Linked DNA regions of Lepisosteus oculatus. The protein of the gene in region 2 interacts with the protein of the main gene of each other region in a pairwise test. Links are inferred from orthologs where the notes say so. Each region holds a gene or a part of one and is shown on either strand. Other genes may lie near its edges.

Evidence for each region. The genes of interacting proteins can lie anywhere in the genome.
Region 1: the proteins of syt4 (region 2) and nbr1a interact in binary tests that used the Homo sapiens proteins (3 or more experiments, as listed by UniProt). The two-hybrid records come from large-scale screens. The link is inferred for Lepisosteus oculatus from reciprocal best matches to the Homo sapiens genes SYT4 and NBR1.

The regions. Positions count from the first base shown.
Region 1 is NC_090723.1:3,608,280-3,618,489, reverse strand, and holds the start of nbr1a (NBR1 autophagy cargo receptor a), read left to right. Parts: upstream 1-5,819; 5' UTR 5,820-6,172; coding exon 6,173-6,274; intron 6,275-10,003; coding exon 10,004-10,066; intron 10,067-10,210. Other genes in the region: psme3 (proteasome activator complex subunit 3), read right to left, coding at 859-913, 1,860-1,964, 3,208-3,270, 3,374-3,406, 4,280-4,321. UniProt on the Homo sapiens protein: Ubiquitin-binding autophagy adapter that participates in different processes including host defense or intracellular homeostasis.
Region 2 is NC_090696.1:29,394,418-29,404,827, reverse strand, and holds the start of syt4 (synaptotagmin-4), read left to right. Parts: upstream 1-6,224; 5' UTR 6,225-6,580; coding exon 6,581-6,614; intron 6,615-8,217; coding exon 8,218-9,056; intron 9,057-10,227; coding exon 10,228-10,348; intron 10,349-10,410. UniProt on the Homo sapiens protein: Synaptotagmin family member which does not bind Ca(2+). Involved in neuronal dense core vesicles (DCVs) mobility through its interaction with KIF1A.

The DNA.
Region 1 (10,210 bases), on a different chromosome or scaffold from region 2:
CAGAAGAAGAAATCAACATCACTATAGCAAAGCAACAGGCATCCTAAAGGCAGAGAGGTCTCCCATTTCATTTGGTACCGCCATTCCCTCCTGCGTGTGCAAAGAAGGAGGCTTGCAAGTCAATGTGGATGGGTTAGGGGAGACTGCCTACTCCTCCTCATTCTCCCCTGTGCGGCTGCAGGATTCATGACTACAAACTGAGATACAAAAACTCAGCTGGCTATTTCTAATTGGGTGTGTAGCAGAAAAATAAATGTTGATTCTATGGGATTTGAAAAAAAAGTACAGCAGGAAAGAAAGATCTTGGAGAGCAGTCTAGTAAAGTAGCAAAATAACACAGGACTCATTATAAACAAGGTCATTTGTTTTGTAGTTGGCAGCTGATTGATCCAGGTTTTCATCCAAATGTTCCTTAAGGGAAGCCAGGGTATCAGCTTCAACAGGTTGGCTTGCTAGCTTGATTCAGACGCCCACAACCCTTTGGGTACAGAAGAGCCTCTTGGTCTCAATTGTAATTGCACTTCCCCATTGGCTTCTCAATGGCTAATGCATAACACTCTGCATTACTTACTTTGACCTAGTCTAGGAAACGTATCACAGTAGAAAACCACACACAAGTCATATTGTAGGGCAGGTAGGACAGGGATGTAAATAGAAAAAATATGCAAATGCCTTAAACAGCCCCTTTAACTTGTAAGCAATCAAAAAGGGCACATGCACACTACCACGCAACTACGACACCCATTTAATAGTTTGACATCTCAACCTTTCTCTGCACAAGCACCACATCCAGCAGACCGGCTTGGCACAACACACAATCGCCAGCCTAGACGTCACTAATGACACTCAGGAACCCACCTTGGCAGTTGTCATCTCCTGCCCCATCTTCCAGCTTCCTCTTCTTGGTGTTCTGCTGCAACGCAACAGTTTCATTTAAACATAAGTGGCCTGTCGCAGCTCTGCCTGGGCACTGTGCTTTTCTCACAAGGTTAGGAAAATGAACGCATGCCTTTAGCTCAGGAGATTGAATTAAATCAGTATGTTAAGCCAGTCTAGTGCAGGGAGAATAGCTTCCAGGTTATTTATTTTTTTTTTTACACCCACCAACTTGGAATCAGCTGACTCAGATCAGATCAAATCTAAAACCCGTACTGGCCTGCAAGAATAGAGGGCCAGCATCTAACAGTCCTCGTCCCTCTGGCGAACCAATCCGGGCCTGCCCGATCCAGTCTGGTTCTTATATATATGACACACGATGTCACAGACGGTGTAAGAGGAGAGTCACTGGGCAGAAAAGCTTCTCTGAGAGAGCACCGGTTTCCATCGAACAGGAAACACTAAGAATGTCCCCAACACTACAGGATAAAAAATAGAATACTCTTGGCATATTTCGTGCGATGGCACCTCAGATTTTACCTCATGCCTGCTGTTGGCGATTCCAAACGAATTTAAAACAATTGTTACAATGACAAATTTTCACTTTTCTACAAAAAAAAAATCTAAGACCAATTGTTTTGTGGTACAATTTTCTCTTAATCAAGGGTACAGACATGAAATAATAGCCTAAATAAAAGGTGGGCTGCAGGAAAATAACTGAAAATGTTGGGGAGGAAAGTATGAAAAGACCTCATTTGCTCCTAGCTTGTACGAAGGCCATAGTATTTAGATGAACTGATAATTCCATGTGGGAAGGGTATGTTAAAAATAGAACCATTGTCAATTCTGCATTGAAAACAAAATATTAAACCTCCATGTAAATTAGCCCTCAAACAGGCTCAGCCATCAATCCAACTGTTTGGACTGATCGGTTTTATCAGCTTTTAAAAAACAAGGCTCAAGAGGAACAGCATTATACTCACAGGCTCCAGCCCATCGTGGCTGTTTGTGAGGATGATGGGGTCAGGCACGGATAAATTGATCTCTGAATGGATGTCTTTCAGCTCAATGATGTTTAAGATCGGGTCCTGTAGAACAGCAGATCAAGGCACAATGAAAACACATGTGAACGTCAGCAGCAAAAGGTTCTGCCTTGAAACCGGACCACAGCCTTCATCTGAAGAGTCCTGTCAAACCACCAGCCTTGGAGACACGTAACTTTATCCTTTCCTTTAACATCCAAGGAGTGATGATTAGTCCTTGAGCTCAGAGACCTCAGCTTGTTTTAAGACCTCATTAGGCTTTAACTGTTCCTTCGTCAAAACAGAAAACACAAGTCCTTTCCCCCCAAGCATATCTGCTTTTTAACATTTTTCGTTAGTTCCCTTCTTGAGGAAATAACCACAAGGCAACAGAGAAACATTTCTCTCTCCCGTTCGGCTGAGCAAGGGGTAAAGCTCTATTCGCTCACCATATGACAGTCACACAGCATTGGTCACGTACTCGGCAGTGATCGTTCAAACCAAGCACCAGACCTTAAATCTCTTCAGTAACTCCAGAAAATGTGAGGCTCCACGTTACTGAACTCAATTCTAGCTTGATTCACACATTGATTCCAGCACTGCTGTGGTGCCCAAGACGTAAGGCTGCTAACTTAGAAATGTTAATTAACTTCACCCAGTACAATTCATGGTTCTGGGAGTGCGGTGACCTTTTTAAGCCTCTCTCGGACGTAGATATCTGGCTACACGGAGGGGGCTTACACCCTCTCCAGAACTTCGATCTGCACGAAGGTGGTTATTTTTCTCCTCTGCGGTATTATTGCCATCCCATCAGCTCTCCGACCCAAAGGTCTGGCTAGGGTGTAGTAAGCGTTGATTTCAGCACAATGAACAGCAAGTCGTGTAGGTGAACCAGCAGGGGGCAATCTTCTGTTGAAGACAGAATTACTAATTGAAGAGCCCCACTATGGGGACAGGGAATACCGTGCTGTACAATGATTTCAGATGAGATTGAACTAATGTCCTGATTATTTGGTTGTTAAAAGATCCCTTGAAACAGTTTTTCCAGAATTGGTATGTTAAGCAAGCATCTTGACTAAATCCCATTCTGGGCTTGCATGATCCAGCATGGCTAAACGTCTGGAGTAATTCTCACCACAACTGATTGGTGATTTGCTTTTCAAAGGTGAATAAAGTGCTCTGGGAACCACTAACAAGGAAAGTGCAGTTTAAACGCAATTCGTCTTCTTCCAGGTCTCCTCAGCTGTGGATAGGAGCTCTTACACAACGAAAACCGCGCAAACATAACGGTAAAAATCGAAAGACTTACCTTAAGAAAATGATCGAGTTCCAGTAACTTCTTTGGAAAGAAATTTGCGACTAAGTCTTCTGCCTAGAAAAGTAAACATTGGGAAATGCGAGCTCTAAGTACAGTACAACTTAGTTTTTTATTTACGTTAAAAGAATCGTTTTAATTTGAAAGCAAAAGTACTTACTTCACCGGTGATTCGTTCTCTGAAAGCATCAACCTGTAGAAAGAGTAAACGTAAATCGGGGTCCACAACTAGACTGTCAAAGACTGAAACGTTACCCGTCTGTGTAGAACATTGCCAAGGCTGTGCATTTAATACAGTAACGTAAGATTACGCTTGAAACAGAATACAGCACAAATGCAATAACACGTGAACATGATGCTGGCCAATATATCTACTGGGTGCAAGATTTTTCATTCGTTTTCGCTGTCTGTAGCTTCATCGGGACTGTCTCCTGAACCGAATTGTTTTGTCACTCAGTTTTTATATAAATATATGAGCACATGCGCCGTGCGACTCTGAAGATATAGATTTCGAATAAGATAAACACCCAAGATATCCGGCTCCAAGGAAGTAGCTGTTGAAGGGACAGCAAAAATGTTTACGATCGTTTTTATTCTTTGACACAGCTCTTGGGATTGGACCCGGACATTCACTCAAAACAATAAACAGGACACGTGTCAAAAAACACGAATTCCAAACGCAGGCCAAATCGCACTGAATTTATTGTGCATTACAGGCGCTACGATCATACTATTATTTCACATTATGGAAAAGACTCAACCACAAACGCCTTAATTTCGACAGCAGCAGACACGCACCTCCGGCCAGAATGAAAGAAGGGGCAATACTATTGGAAATATCGGAATATACGGAAATATCCTGTTTTAACTTCAGATAATTCCATATAAATCGACATACGCAGAGCAATTATGACTATATCTGTGAAGCACAGCGCGGGAAAGCCAGGCGATTATGCTAGGCACTTATTTAATACCCCGGCCTTGTGTTACAGAAAAATTTCCGACTGTTCAAATTTCAACACCACATCCCCCTCGCGTCAGTCTTTCTCGGATTACCGTCTCTTACCTTAGTTTTGATTTCATTGTCCACTTTGAGGAGAGAAGACATTCTATTTTCAGACAAATAGGGAAGGGAATCTGAGATCGTATTAACAGAAATAACCGTGTGGCTCCTTTCAGCTCCTATTCACAGCCACAAGGTATCAAAGGGAGAGAACGAGAAATGACGTAGAAAAGCCGCGACGACAATGAGAGGCGAGGAAAATCACCCAACCACGTGGAAGTAGCGTGAAGCTGGCTACACTAAGCGACACGAATGACCCGGAAGTGTATGTCAATAGCCGAATTTCAATCAAAATAAAAGACTTTCAGCTACCACAGCAGCTTTTGAGGAGTAAAGCAACATTAAGCGAAGTGACAAGCAGCTGAAACACCTGCTTTATTTCGTCATGGTTAATTTGAGAGAGTCCTTTTTTAAATTTTAAATCGCCTCCACTTATCTCCAAGTTTGACAAATCTAAGATTATTAGAAGTTTGTATTAATTTTACAGCCCCTTTCTACTACTGTAATATACTGCTATATTTTTTTTTCATAAAAATGTTTCTGTTCAATGAAAAAGGTTTTAAGATGCAAGCTTTTAAAGGAGTTGTATCTGAAATTTGTAATTAAATAAAATCCTTTATTATATTTAAATTCAATCATTTTTTTAAACTATAACCAGGGACAAAAACATTTTGTGCACAATCAAAAGTGGTGAAACATACAATGTTAAGACAGTCAGTCAATAGCAAATCACCCTTCTTCATTCCGTTTTAAGTTTTTATTAATATTGTTGGTCTGGGTGGATCACCTCTAGAAAAACTGCAGTGCAGAATTGGATGGGGAAAATTTGTGCCTCTCCAAAGGTGGATGCAATCTATTGCACAGACCCTCAGCTGATAGAAAATCACCTTGTTTTTGTCAGACAAGTGTCTCTGTCAAAACTGCTGGGGTCTGTAGAGCACCTCCCATCCCCAGACTGAGACCGTGCACTGATGGACAGGGAGCGGTCTCACCCACCTCCCGACCAAACACAAATTTGTGCCTCTTCAAAAATACCTCATATCTATTCTACAGACCCTCAGCTTATAGAAAATCGCCATGGTCTTGTCAGATAAGTGTCTTTGCTAAAGTTGCTGGGGTTTATAAGACCGTAAAGTACGGGCCTTGTGTAGAATCACGTGATCCGCAGAGCACCATATTACCAGCAGTTGGTTATCATTCTCTTGTCTTTATTTATTTATGCATAAACAATAACAACAAATACAATACAAACAAGCGTACATATAACATTTTACGACAAAAACATCGTCAGGGGGTACATATTACAAAATAAATTCAAATTATGAAAAACGTTTAATCTTTCTCTTATGTCCATCCAGGGTTAGAATCACAGGTATCTGTGTAATCTGCATTGTCATGAAACATTTGAAAGAAACTATAATTAGCATCTGCAAATACAAATATAACTGATTTACAGAATATGACATGTATTGCGATATGTTGTAAATCAGTATACGCCTTTAAAGCAATGTAGCTTAACATCTGCTACAGCAGATGAATGAATAGGTATCGTTAACTTATATTCATAGGAAAAACACAATTTGGCATCATCATGGTCAGAAGCGGGAGCCTAAAATGATATAAAGAAACACCTGTCAAACCCAGCGCGATCCACTCGTCTCTCCCGGTTTGAGAGTGCGCATGTACCCTCTTGATGACGTCGGGCGACTTCCTGTCACGTGGGGGCCCGTGTTTACCGCAGATGTAAACAGAAACTGTGGGGAGAAGAGCTTCGTGGCCGAGCTCCGGAGGCAGGCGAGAAGCTGGCTTGTAAAAGAAGAAGACCGTGCCATCGAGTAGATCGCGCTGCTTCTTTGTTGGATGACCTTTGCAGACTTGCACATCTGACAGACGGCCATGGACTCCCCCGTGAGCTTGAAGGCGCATTTTAAGGGACGGGCGGAGAGCCTGCTGGTGTCGGACTCGGAGAGGACGCGCTGGGAGGCGGTGGAAGTGGCGGTGAGCCTCCGGCGCGGCGGTCGGACCTCGGCGTCGGCCTCCCCCCCCCCCAGACACGGCCCTTCTCGAAGTTTCTCCTCAGTTTAAAATCCTGCTTTGCTTCCGTTTCAGGGCCAGTTTGAAATTCCGACGCGCTGTGTATGCGTACGGGCGATAATAGGATTTCCGTGCCGTGCGTGATGTCAGACATTAGAAACGTCATAAATCGTAATCGCAACGAGTAGCCCTTATATCCAATTAATAAAGACCTGGCTCATTCTTTTACACACACTGTACTGTGTTGGTAGCAAAACTATCAATACAGGAGTCATAAAAGAGTCGTGAATGACTGCCCGAGGTTCTGTGCGTGAACTGGGAAAATACCACAAATATGTTTACCTTAACAATCGAAATCATAAATTACAATTAGTTCAAATCTACTTGGAAAACAACCTTATCTGTTATGAACGCTGGGTAGGAGGGCTGCCTTGTTTGCTCCTACAGATCGGCGCCGTTTTAATTTTTTTTTTAAGAATACTTATGTCATATAAAGAGGAGAAATGTTTCTGACAGGTTTGTGGGGCATTGAAGAAACACTGTGTTAAAGGTCACGAAGGCATGACCTTTCGATACCGGAACAAAACGGAGACATTGTATTATTTTCCTGCAGGCGAGTGAGTCATCCGCGGTGACGCAGCATGTCCTTAATGCTTACAGTCGAGATGGAAACCACTCGCATCTGTTCTCCTCGCCCTTACGGAGAGATCAAACAAACAGCCCATAGTAATCAGGAACAGTTTGGAAATGCACATATCCACCCGCGGTGCCCCCATCAGAGTAGAAAGTGAGAAAAAAGAAGACTCGTCCCGTGTAAATGTTGTTTTAGATGGTCCGGCCACCTGCCCGAAAACCATTTTGCATTCTTTGGCGTTTTATTGTGAATACTGTATCTGGCTTGGGACAGCTCTTTCAGAGCACAACATCCCTACATAGGTTCACAGTACATATTGCATGTTAGTCAACATACAATAGGATGACTAAAAACAACAGCTCTTTTCCATTAAAGCTACAGAAAGACAGCGGATCAGTTGCAGCGACCTGAAAGCGCCGTTACAGCTGGAGTACAGGCCGGTGTTGGCACGCAGCTCCATGAACTAGTCCTTGAGACCAGTGGCAACGAATCTGGCCGCTGAAATGAGCCCGCAGCTCCGTACTGAACTTGGTCTCAGTTGCAACAGCTGCTGCCCTCTAGAGCTCACTGAGCAGGGAAATCGCCTCTTCGCATGGCTTAACTTTAAACGAATTAACAGCGTACTAAGCGGAACTTGGGGTCACATTAGAACCTTCTCGAATATAGTGGAAATATCGTCACTAAGTAATGAATTTATGCGTCCGTGGCTTTTTGTTAATTTAATATTATCCTAATATTTAACTAAAATCGCCTTTCAGACACACCGCAATTATCCATAATGAAGTTAATTAGTAAACGTGTTTATTAATAAAAGTGTAATTTATTTATAATGAAGTTTAATGCTGTATTACAGCAAATGTATAGAGCCCTTAGTATGCGATTGTGACTTTTCAGATGTCCCGGGAAGTGGACATAGCTGAAAGTAAATACATCTTTAAATTGGGTGTAAATTTCAGATGTGTTCTGTCTGCAATGGTATAAATGTATCTCAATACATAAAATTAAAATAGCAACGTGTTCGCTTATTAGTCTGTCGGATCTCCGTAGGAATCTTATCTCATCAATGGGAATAAAAGCGGCTATAATACAAGTTCAAACTGAAACCCGCAACTACTGTTCTCGTTTGTTTCGTTCCCTTATCTGCTATATTTTTAACATAAACGCCGTTCTAGAATTTAAAATAACATTACATTGCCAGGGACATTCAAATATAACTATGGCCTATATGTTAATTTACTGATTAGAGTGAGTGCACGTTCTCCCCACGTCCAGGTGGGTTTCCTCGGGGTGCAACAGTTATCGCCCACAGTCCAAAGACATGCTGGTAGATTAACTGTCCTTAGTTAGAGAGTGTGCGTGTCTGTCTGTCTGTGTGTGTGTGTGCCCTGTGACAAAGTTGTCTCCTGCCCAGGGTGCACCCTGCCTCGTGCTTGTTGCTTGCTGGGAGAGGCTCCAGCTCCCCTGCGACCCTAAATTGGATGAAGTGGTAAAAAAAATGGACTGATAGAATCAACTGCATGGGATACAGCAGTAACAATATTAACAACAGCTTGTTTTAGAGAAGCAGGGCGATTGTTAATAAACTTGCCTAGCAGCTACCCCGTTAAGCAAGCATGACGAGCCTTTTCCAAGTGCTTATGTAAAACAGTGGCAGAGGAATTTTCTGTAATTAAATTTGCCAAATTCTCTTGTGGTGTGGGTAAAACGCCAGTGACAGCTTTCTGTGCATGCCTTCCCCACATGATAAGGGCATTAGTATAGTTGCTCTCTTATCTTGGGTCTGAAAATTAGAACGGAAGGCTTAGTGAAGCATAAAATGTTCTTTTTAATTAATTGAAACGGCTTTCCTGAGCCCCATGACATGCAATTCAATGTGGTTCTCTAGAGGAAGAGGAAAAAACCCCAATAGTTTCAACACAGCAGATTAGAGCTCATGTTTTGCCCCACCTAATTACATGATACTTTGGCTTATCACCACCTTCTCATGAAAACGTTCCTCATCTTAGCCAGGTTTGAGAAGCCCTAAGTTGTGGCTTTCATGTTTAAAGAATAGAATGCCTAAAACGGAACTATGGTGGGATGTTTTTTTTAACTTTTAAAGACATCTAAGGCATTAAGGCTTATTTGTTCAGAAAGGGCTGTATTTTTTGTGTGCTCATTCTCTCAGCTGGACTAAGGTCTGTGCCACACATGCTTTATGCAGCAGCTTTGCAATCCTGTAAACTCAAATGCATGCCTCCTTAACAAAAAAGAAACCTGACAGCAATAAAAGTAAGACTAGAGGATGCCATTGGGTTTGACTCTCTCATTTGATCGTTAGCTGCTGAATTGAATTGAGCATCTTGCCCAGGTGCGTCTTAAATGATCTCAGGTTGATCACTTAGCTTCACCGCCATTGCCAAGTTGTTTGTTCTGAAGCAGACACCCACAACTTATCGTGTAAAGGCGTGTCTCCAATTTGCGGTTATAAATTAACTTATTTTTCTCCACGTGTCAGCAGCATTATAAGATTTATATGTTAAGCAAGGCTGGGGCCGTGTCAAGGCTATAGGAGACCTCTAAAGTGAACCAGGCTGCTCCTGTATGTGGTATTTCCACACTAGTGCTACAAATTGCCCTTTAGCTGAGATATTAAACCAATATCCTGACTACTTGGTCTTTAAAGACCCTATGGAACTATTAGAGGTTTTAACCCGGTCTCCTAAGTAAACTCCACTTTGGGCTTGTGCGATTTGGTGTCTCTCCTTTTGCCCCTTAATTGATATGATGAAGAATTTGTCACTTGTTCATGAGATCCACGTGACACTCAGGTGGATGGTGCACTTCACCACTGGATGAAGTGATTCCTCTTTCATTGTATGTGTGACCAACTTCACAAGTACAAGCAGTTATTTATTATTGTAACTTGCGTCCTTGTGGTTTCTTAATTGTGTTGACTGGATTGACATTTTCAAGATGCATACCAAGTAAAATGCAGTGCAGAGAGGGTTGTAACTTGGCTTTGTTTCAGCTGTCAGGCAGCTGTCTAAAGGAAATAAAATGTTGATTCTTTATTGCAGGTGAAACATTCTTTTCGGTTAAGCGATGTGCAAATAAAATACTTAGATGAGGACAATGAAGAGGTAAGACAAGTTTTTATATTTTTTTTAACTAAAATGCATACATTCCCAGTGATGCACAGTGTTTGAAAACCTTTAACAGCATAGACAAGATTGAGCATAAAACCTGTTTCTTAGTCCATTATGCTTAGAATATAGCACATTTCT
Region 2 (10,410 bases):
GCTGTGGTTTAACATGCTTTGTGCTTTTCCATACAGGGCCATGAGACACCCTGGGATCCTAGAGCTGATGTGTGTAAGTAATATAGTAGTGCACTACAGTTCATTCCCAGTCAACACCTTATAGCAGAAGTAATGTAAAATATCCACACAAGTAAACTAGTGTGAAAATACAGGTCAGAGTAGTTCTGCTCTCTCTGGTCCTGTAGAATTGAAGGGTCTGCAGGTCTTTAATGCACCTGTACTCATCATGAGTTTCTTCTTGGCCCAACTGGTATACTGGTATATGTAATGTATTATTTGAGAGTTCATAGTCTTAGATTCCTTCACACCTGGCAGATCTGTGATCTCTGGATGAGATCCTTGGATCAGTTAGTTCTAGCACCCAATCAAGATAGATGGGGAAAATGGCATTTTCTCATCTATAAACATTCTTGTGTTCTTATCTTCTCTTTGCTCATTCAATTCTGTGTACACCAGGATTCACCTTTAAAACAAAAAAAGGGAACGAAAGTAGTTCAATGTAATGCATAAATTGTGTTTTCATCGAGAGCAGCATTATCACCAATAAGCCTGATCTCATCAGATCTCCAGCAGCCATATCACCCTGCAAGTCACAACTGGCAACCCACTAAAGCTAAGCAGGAGTGAGCCTGGTCAGTACCTGGATGGGAGACCTCCTGGGAAAAACTAAGGTTGCTGCTGGAAGAGGTGTTTGTAGGGAAAGCAGGGGGTGCTCACCCTGCAGTCTATGTGGGTCCTAATTCCCCAGTACAGTGATGGGGACACTCTACTGTAAAAAGGTCCTGTCTTTCGGATGAGACCTAAAACTGAGGTCCTGACTCTCTATGGTCATTAAAAATCCCAGGGCGTTTCTTGAAAAGAGTAGGGGTGTAACCCCAGCATCCTGGCCAAATTTCCCATTGGCCTTTATCAATCATGGCCTCCTAATATTCCTCATCTATGAATTGGCTTCATTACTCTGCTCTCCTCCTCACTGATCGCTGATGTGTGGTGAGTGTTCTGGAGCACTATGGCTGCCGTCACATCATCCAGGTGGATGCTGCACATTGGTGGTGGTGGAGGGGAGTCCCCAATACCTGTAAAGCGCTTTGAGTGGAGTGTCCAGAAAAGTGCTATATAAGTGTAAGCAATGATTATTATTATTATTATCATCACAGAAGCTAAGACAGACTGGGCCTGGTCAGTACTGGGACAGGGAAAACCAGGCTGCTGCTATAAGTGGTGTCGGTGGAACGGTAGGTGGCACACCTTCCTCTGGATCAGGCATATCCAAACCCATGCCCCAGTAACTTAACGGGGGACACAATGCTGTAAGAAGTACCATCTTTCAAGTGAGATATAAAACAAAGGTCCTGATTAATTGGTCATCAAAGATCCTTTTGCTGTTCTTAAGAGTAGGGCTGTTAACCCAAGTGTGACACCAAGATTCCACTCTGGGTTTGAACAATCGAGACTCTCTCCTTATTTCTACTGGTGAAATGGTGTAATAATAATAATAATAATAATAATAATAATAATAATAATAATTTCAGTAGTTAAAACTGTAATATTTTCTCATCACCAGCAGAGGACCCTCCTGTCCATAGAACAGTCTTCCTATAGTTATCGTCCATCACTTAATGAGCACTTGTGCAGCTCTGTGTCGTTGAATGTGTGTTTTGTGTGTCTGAGTGTGTTTCTCTGTGTCTGGGTCTGTCCCTGTCTGTTTTCCTGTATGTGAATGTGTATGTGTGTGTGGTTGTGTCTCTCTGTGTTTATTTGTGTCTGTGTGTTTCAGAGTTTATGAATCTTTCTGTGAGGGAATGATTTAGACCACAATAACACTAATCAGCCCCCAGATCCTTTGGATATTGTATTTTGTTCCCTGGGGTGGGTTGGTGTCCCACCCAGAGTGCACCCAGCTTGTGCCCGTTGCTTGCCAGGGGCAGCCATAATTGCAAGAAATGGTAAGAAAATGAATGTTTGGATGGATATTGTATTTTTATATTACCTAGTGGAGACTGGGCAAATATAACTATTTAGCAGTTCTTTTAAACCATATATTTTTGCTTATGGGTGCAGCAGTGTGGAGTTTCTAGACTCATGCCTGGAAGGTTGTGGATTCAAATTCCAGGTGACACACAAATACAAAACTCCTCCCTTCAGGACAGGTTTTCCATGCTCATGGAATTTCGTTACAGATTTGGGTCTGTCTCTTGTGTTATTAACACCCATTTCAAAATACAAAGCCTGCCCTTACTTCTACTTTAATAACTTCTCTCTTCATTGTATCTGTAGAGTTGTGGTCATGCACAGTTTGGTAAGATAGGACATTGGAATAAAAACAAAACATCTCTGATATGATCTGTGCAACCTTGTATGAAAGTCTAGATTTTCAGTACTGGCTGTGCATGGACTGCTGCTGTGGAGGAAGGGAATAGTTATGTGATATAATTGTATTGTGACTTAACCTCTCCTGCTCAGTGGTGATGATGATGATTGTTTGTATTATCTCAGATACACTTTACTTCATTCTTCACTGATCGCATGTTATTGTAGTGTTAGGAATGGTCATGCAAAGTGGTAGAAAGACATTTCATTTTAGCTGGTCTCTTATTTCTGATAACGACACTCCACCAGCTTCCTTGCTCTTTGAAGGGAGTGCGTGTGTCTGTAAAATGGAGCTGAAATTGGTATTCAGTGACACACAGGTGCCCACAGCAAAGAAGACATCTAAGCAGATTTTTTCAAGCAGTGAAAAGGAGAGGGATCTCAAACAGCTTGTCGTTTTTAATTAACCCCCAGGTCACTGCCACTGTGGGCCTGCCCTTGACAATGTCTCAGCCCAGACACTTCAAACTAAATTAAGAGAAAAGAAACAAACAGCTCCCCAACACAGTGACAGCTGAAGTTCTCCGAGGACAGGGACTGTTCGTCCAGCCTAAGACATAGGAGGATTGTTCATCACACCACGAACAACTCTTCTGTTTTCATCAGTTGTTTCATTAATGCAATATGCTAATTGTTTCTCCTATGTACAGTAGTTCCTTATCTATGCAGACCAGATCTCCATCGCTGGGACTAGGAAATGAGACACACCAGGCACTCTGTCCGCTTGTGCAAAACACAGACATGTGCAAAGCATGAAGAGCAACAGCAGCAGCATGTCTTAGATTGATCCCCTGCCTCCTAGTCAGGCATTCGTCATACTACGGCAGCTGTGATGAGGACAGTTGTTGGAGCTGTTCTTGTTTCCTGCTGCTCTCTTCCTCTGTCCTCCAGCGTGCAGGAGCTCTCACTCCTGACCATGCCTCCCTGACTGAGGGAAGCCAGGGACGACCTGGGAAGGATCGATCTTTTGGCACTTGCACAGCTGACCTGGGATTTGGCAGAACAAGGGCTCAGAAAGAGAGAGGGTGAGCACCCATCAGAATGCCAGGCAGATCTTTGATTTATCTTCCAAAAACTCTTAACAGTATGTGCAATTCAACTAAGACCTGAGCAAAAGTACTGAGAAGTCATAAAAACAGAAAATCCAGCATAAGGGACATTTATTCTCTAAACGTGGCACATTCATTTCCTCAAGACACACCAAATGCTCAGCCTAATGACTCCTCATACAGCGCCCAGAGTCAATACATTACTCCACTCCATTTACCAGGGGCTCACAGCTTAGTCACAAGCCGCAGTAATTTCATTTTTTTTCTTCGTTGAATGCTTTTGCTTGGCTGAACCGTTTTGTCAAAGAAAGTCAACTCATCTGCAGAGCAGAAATGTTTGCAATGAAGTGAAGGGGCAGTGGAGCAGAAGGGTAATACTGTCAGCCAAACACATATCCAGAAGCTGCTGAAGTTGAGCATGTCAGTGGGTTTTTAAACATTTATGTTTGGTGCGCTGTTTCTTTTGCAGTCTCCCCCAGGCTACTGCGTGCAAATCATCATGAATAATGTGGGAGGCGTCTCAGCTCCCCCTGCACACGTTCCTCCTGGGTGTCCAGGATCCAGGATTGAAGAAGCCTTTAGTGTCCGTCATTTACTTTCCTGCCCTACTGGCTCTTGACCTCAGCATGAAGACCTGCCTGGCTCACTGTGTGAGGTCAAGATGACAAAGCCTGATTCCCCCTTCACACAAGCTAATGCGATCTTCATTGTTGAAAAAAAACATTCAAGCATTTCATTACCTGAAGTAACTGTTTTTCTCTGTCTACTGAATTCCTCCAAGCGTCTGAGAGAGATGTTGAGTTTTCATGTTTATAAAACAGATCTATCCCACATTTTCTGTAAAGCACAGGCCTGGAGAGAAGCTGCTGTAATGCAGGCTAGAGTTCCAGATCAGATGAGAACGGATAGCATTAAGGTGTTTCTTCCTGTGTCTCCACCATTACTGACACTTATATAGTACTTTTCTGGACACTCCAGGCATAGCTCTTTACAGGTAATGGAGACTCCCCTGTACCACCACCAATGTGCAACCCCAGGATGATGCAACAGCAGCCATAGTGCACTAGTACACTTCAGCTATGATAAGGAGAAGAACAGAGTGATGAAGTCGATTCATAGATGGGGAGGCCATGATTGGTAAGGGCCAATGGGAAATTTGGTCAGGACGCCGGGGTTACGCCCCTACTCTTTTCAAGAAACGCCCTGGGATTTTTAATGACCACAGAGACTCAGGACCTAGAGTATAGTGTCCCCCTCACTATACTGGGGCATTAGAACCCACACAGACTGCAAGGTGACTGCCCCATGCTGGCCCCACTAACACATCCTCCAGCAGCAACCTTAGTTTTTCCCAGGAGGTCTCCCATCCAGGTACTGACCAGGCTCACACCTGCTGAGCTTCAGTGGGTTGCCAGTTATAAGTTGCATGGTGATATGGCTGCTGGCTATGGGCAGCTCTCATTGTCGATTTATTACACAGTGACACACAGATTATGTATACTCAAGATATTAAAGAATAAACATTATAAATGTAAGGAGGCCATTTAGTCAATTCACCTGTTTGGTAGGTATTAGCTAATCAATCCATGAATCTCATCCAGCTTTTTCCTGAAATAATCCAGGGTATGTTGTTCAACAACATGTCTAGGTACTTGGCTCAGGACTGCTATAGCCCTGTATGTCAAACAAAGTTATTTCTGTTCTGAGGTTTTTGTGCATTTCCTCATAGGTTCTATTTGCCTCTCCTGGCTGGTTTTCACTGTTGATACTGTATATGTCTGAAGATTTCGAGTAATGCTACAAATGTCCCCCTTTTCACAGTCGGTATACAGAGGTGAAGATGAAGATCCAGTGAACACACGACCAAGGCACTGAAACCCTGCTTCACCAGCACAGGCGCGAGTAGTGTTTCAGTGGTCTCCACTACGAGGCTGACTGAGGGCGAGTGAGGTTGAGGGGGGATGGGGGGAGGTTCAAAGCTCATGATGACAATCACAGCAGAGAAGGCAAGGCTCATCTTACCCTTTGAGTAACCAGGACTTCCATTAGTAAGAAAATGCCCAGATAAGTTGATAGAGATAAATTTAAACTTGGCTATGAACAGCTTCAGAGAGCTTCTGTGTATACATTTTCTGCTTCATTAACAGAGCTTCAGAATCCACATGCATTGGAATAACTGAGGTACTATCAAATTCCTAACAGCCAAGGCAATCTGAGTATCTGGTCTGGAATGCATGAAAAAGGAAAGACCATAGAGATTGTGACTGCTTAATTCTGCATAGAGGCTAATCAATTAATATTAATTCACCAATGTTGAAACAGCATCCAAATTAAGAAATGTTAGCTTCTCTGAGAATAGATGTGATGATCGGGCACAGTTTAAGGGTGGGGTCTCTGGCTGTAGCTCAGAAACAGTCAGAGACAGCCTGCTGAGCCAAAGCAGAGAACGCTTTTGGCAGTAAAATCAGCCTGGGGTCATGGGAGGTAAGGATGGATTGATGCCTTGTCTTTAATCTCTGTCTTTGTCCTATCCTTCCCATGCACAAACGCTCTAACTTACATGTTTCTAATGACATGTACTTCTTGTCTTGAATTTCTTTCCTTTGCCCAGTTCAGAGTAATTTTCCTCTGGCTGGTATGATGTATATATTTTTGCTGTGAAATGCAGCAAGGATTAACTTCCCGCAGGCAGGCGGTTACAATAATTGATGAGCCTGTTAGCCTGCCCTGCCATTCCTTGGAGAAAAGGCGGTGATTTCACACAGCTTCGTCAGAACTGCGTCAGAAGCAGAGCAGCCGTGGGGAGCACAGAGCCGAGCCGACGCCTCAGAGGCGCTCAGAGCTCAACGAGTGACCGTGAAAGAAAGTACGACAGAAGTGCTTCGGGGAGAACACGGGGAAAAAAACCACCAAGTTTTTAATATTATTAAAAAAAGAATAATAACAAAACATTTCGGTACCTTTATATGTAGATTTTCACATTTCTTTTTGATCGACAAATTAAAATACGAATCAATTTTCAACTGAAAGGCAGGCATTCGAGGGCTGAGTCGCAGTGAAAGCCGGAGCTGTCGAGGGTACACTCAAGCGCTGGAACACAGGAGTGTGCTTTCAGCACCTCGGACAGAGCACCACGCGTCATGGCGCCAGTGATTGCAGAGGGAGCGCAGTTCGGTAAGACCTTTGATTTTCTTCACGCGTTATGCCCTCCGACGGAACGTAACAGGCTGTCTGGATAGAGATTGCAGTTTACAATAACAGTTTTCAGCGAAAGAAAAAGGATCGCTTCATTGTGTCTGTAGAGAGGCCACATTGAATGAAAAATAATACCATTGAATTTAGTTCTAATTGCAAATTCCAGCATTTTTATATTTATTTTTCACGGCGTAATAATCGTATCAGCTATTGCCTTTATTTTCTGTATTTGTCATTAAAAGAAATCCCCCGTAAGTAAATGAGACATATTCAGTTATTTCATGCTGAGGACAAAGATAGGCAGATGACATGTGTTTGGATGAAAACCAAGGTAATTGGTAGATTTGTTTTGCTGCGATTTTGGTTTGTAGAAACATTCGCCGCTTTTCTACTCTTGGAAAGCACGATTGGAATAAAAGAATGATGTTTTTTTGTCTGTTACGGAAAGACCTGCAGCAAGTAGGATGTGGATTCTGGTGTGGCTGCTGAATCCCCAGGATTGTGCAATTCTGAGTCACTGTAGATTCCTGCCCTACTGTGTTACTTAGACCAGTGGACACACTGTCTGCTTCTGCAGAGAATCTTCTGGGAGGGGGAGGTGTGTGAGGGGGGTGGAAAGACAGAGTAGCACATCACGATGTCTGACAATGCTGCTGCCCCAGCCTGGGTGGTGAGGGCTAGACACATAGAAGTTGATAGGGGAAAGCAGAAAAGATAGAATCAGTGAGGAAGAGTGTAAACAAGGGTTAAACACACACACACACACACACACACACACACACACACACAACACACAGAAGACTCGGGGGACCTGTTTCAGACCAGTTGTGTTCTACTGATGTGTTGATTTCTCAGCTGCATTAACACAAGCTGCAGGCAACATGAACCACGCACTGCGCTGACGAAAATGGTTAATATCTTCTGATACATATAGACAGACGGACACAATCAAATGATGAATCATTTTCACTTCAGAGTGCCATTTCATAGTATACTCCATCTCATACGGATTTTCAAATTCAGGGCGCAACAGGGAACGGCGCAGTTTCAGGTTACCTGACATGTATCATTCTGTACCTCAACAAACAAGAGGTACAGAACTCAAATCAATGTATTAATATTAATTTAAATCAATAAAATTTACAATAATATTCAAACATTTCTATGAACCTCTCTAAGAAAGGGCTTAATACTAGTTGAAGTCATGATAGGGGAAAACAAGACAGATTGTGCACACAGGAATACACACAGACACACACAGAAACTGATGCTTGCACATACAAACACGTACACAAACCAGCGCTTACACATGCACGAATGGATGCTTACGCACAGATACTTGCACACACACACACAAACCTATGCTTGCACACAGAAACTGTCACTTGCACGCACACATAACCCAGTGCTTCCACACACACAAACTGATGCTTACACACAAGCCGATTCTTACACACACAAACATACAAAATGACACTTAAACTCAGTTTCTTGAGCACTCGAACGCCACACTGGCTCTGTAGTCCCAGTTTGCAGCTGCAGCCGTGCAGATTTCTCATGTCTGTTCTCTCCTGTATTGTAGCCGAGGTCCCGGCCGCAGTGGGAATCATCAGTGCCTTTGGACTGGTCTTCACCGTCTCTCTGTTCGCATGGATATGCTGCCAGCGCAAGTCAGCTAAATCCAACAAAACTCCTCCCTACAAGTTTGTGCACATGCTGAAGGGGGTGGACATCTATCCTGAGAGCCTCACCAACAAGAAGAAGTTCGGGGCTGATGAGAAAACAGAGCTGGCCAAGTCCACGCCCAGCCCTGCCAGCGCCAAGACCGCCCTCCACCTGGACCTGGAGAAGCGAGACCTCAACGGCAACTTCGCCAAGCCGCACCCCCGTGTGCGGAGCTCGCCCGAGCTGGACATGCCCTCCCCGCATGGCTGCTTCCCAGAGGAAGGCAAGGAGCCAGCCTCCCCGGAGAGCGTGCCCTCCAGCAAGGCGCTAACGCCGGCGGACAAGCCCCCCGACCGAGAAGCGGGGCTGGGGACCCTTTTCTTCTCGCTCGAGTACAACTTCGACAAGAAGGCCTTCATCGTCAACATCAAGGAGGCGCACGGGCTGTCCGCCATGGACGAGCAGTCTCTGACCTCCGACCCCTACGTCAAGATGACCATCTTGCCTGACAAGAAGTACAAGGTGAAGACCCGCGTGCTGAGGAAGACCCTCGATCCCGCCTTCGATGAGACGTTCAGCTTCTACGGGATCCCCTACAGCCGGGTGCCCGAGCTGGCTCTGCACTTCATGGTGTTGAGCTTCGACCGCTTCTCGCGGGATGACGTCATCGGCGAGGCTCTGGTGCCCCTGGCGGGGGTTGACCTCTCGGAGGGGCGTGTCCTCATGACCCGCGAGATCATCAAACGCAACGTCAGGGTAAATAGCGATTCTCGGGAGGGAGGGGGAGTCCACACAACACTGTCACACAGGGACAGAAAACACGCAGCGATCAAACACATTTCAGAAACAGAGCTTGTGCGCTGTAATGAAACAGAGACAAGATAAGCAGAGGAGGTTTTGCAGTTTATTTAAGTCTCAGTATTCAGAAACCTTAGATGCAAAGAAAACATCATCCCAGTGCATGTATTTTAGCATAACAAATACCTGAGAATTCAGAGTATTAAATACTAAATGAATATTAAATGAGTAATAAATATTAAATATTAAAAGAGTATTAAATAGAACCTATGACATTAGAACACACCTTTTTACAGAATGAATCATGGGTGCCTGGAACCAATTACCAAATAATTTTAAAGCTATTTTCTGCTTGGAGACGTTTTTAATTGCAATTTCCTAAATAGAAAAGATCGACAGAATGGCCTACTCTCATACTGTATGTACCTTATTCGCTATTTCGCTATTCAAGATGCCATATATGTATACAGTTGTGCAAAAGCATTACACAACTAACAGAATTAAGTGATCTTCAATTCACATTGATCTGAACCTTTAAAAATCTGATATCCATAACACAAGGTCAGCTAAAGAAGAGCAGTCAATATGAAGGGCTGTGGTAGCTAATCCATCACATTTACCAATCAAATCTAATTGACTCATTGTCAGGTCTTCTTTTCAATATGTCCATACAGTTAAATGGCTATTTTGTATACTACAAAATACGTATCAAGATCAACTGTTGGATTAAAACAAAACAGATACTACAACAGTAAAGTATTATTACAGGAATGTTTTGGTTTCAAGAAGGACTAATACAGAAATCAAAAGAACAGTGTAAAGTGTTTGATTTTTTTTACAGCTGTGTGTATATTTTTTTCTAACCATTTCAGAACAGACAGCAATATGGAAATTATAAAATGAAATCAACCTTTTCCTCCTCTGTTTTCTTTTACGTTGGATCAAGGTAAAATATAAGCGAGGGTGAACACATGTTCGGAGACTCTCCGTGAAGTGATTGGTGAAGAAATGAAAAAGATAAATAGCTCTGGAGAAAGGCAGCAATATCACACTGCACATAGACATGAGCAATACTGGTATCGAAGGTGATGAGCTCTGGTTTTCATTCCCTCTCTCTGTGTCTCTGCAGAGGTGTGTGGGCAGAGGGGAGCTCCTGCTGTCTCTGTGCTACCAGTCGACCACCAGCACTCTGACCGTTGTGGTGCTGAAGGCACGCCACCTGCCCAAGACTGAAGCCTCCAGCCTTTCAGGTACAGCTCAGGATATGGGGTCCCTCGAGGCCTTCTGCCTTTTAAACCATCAACAGCTGGGA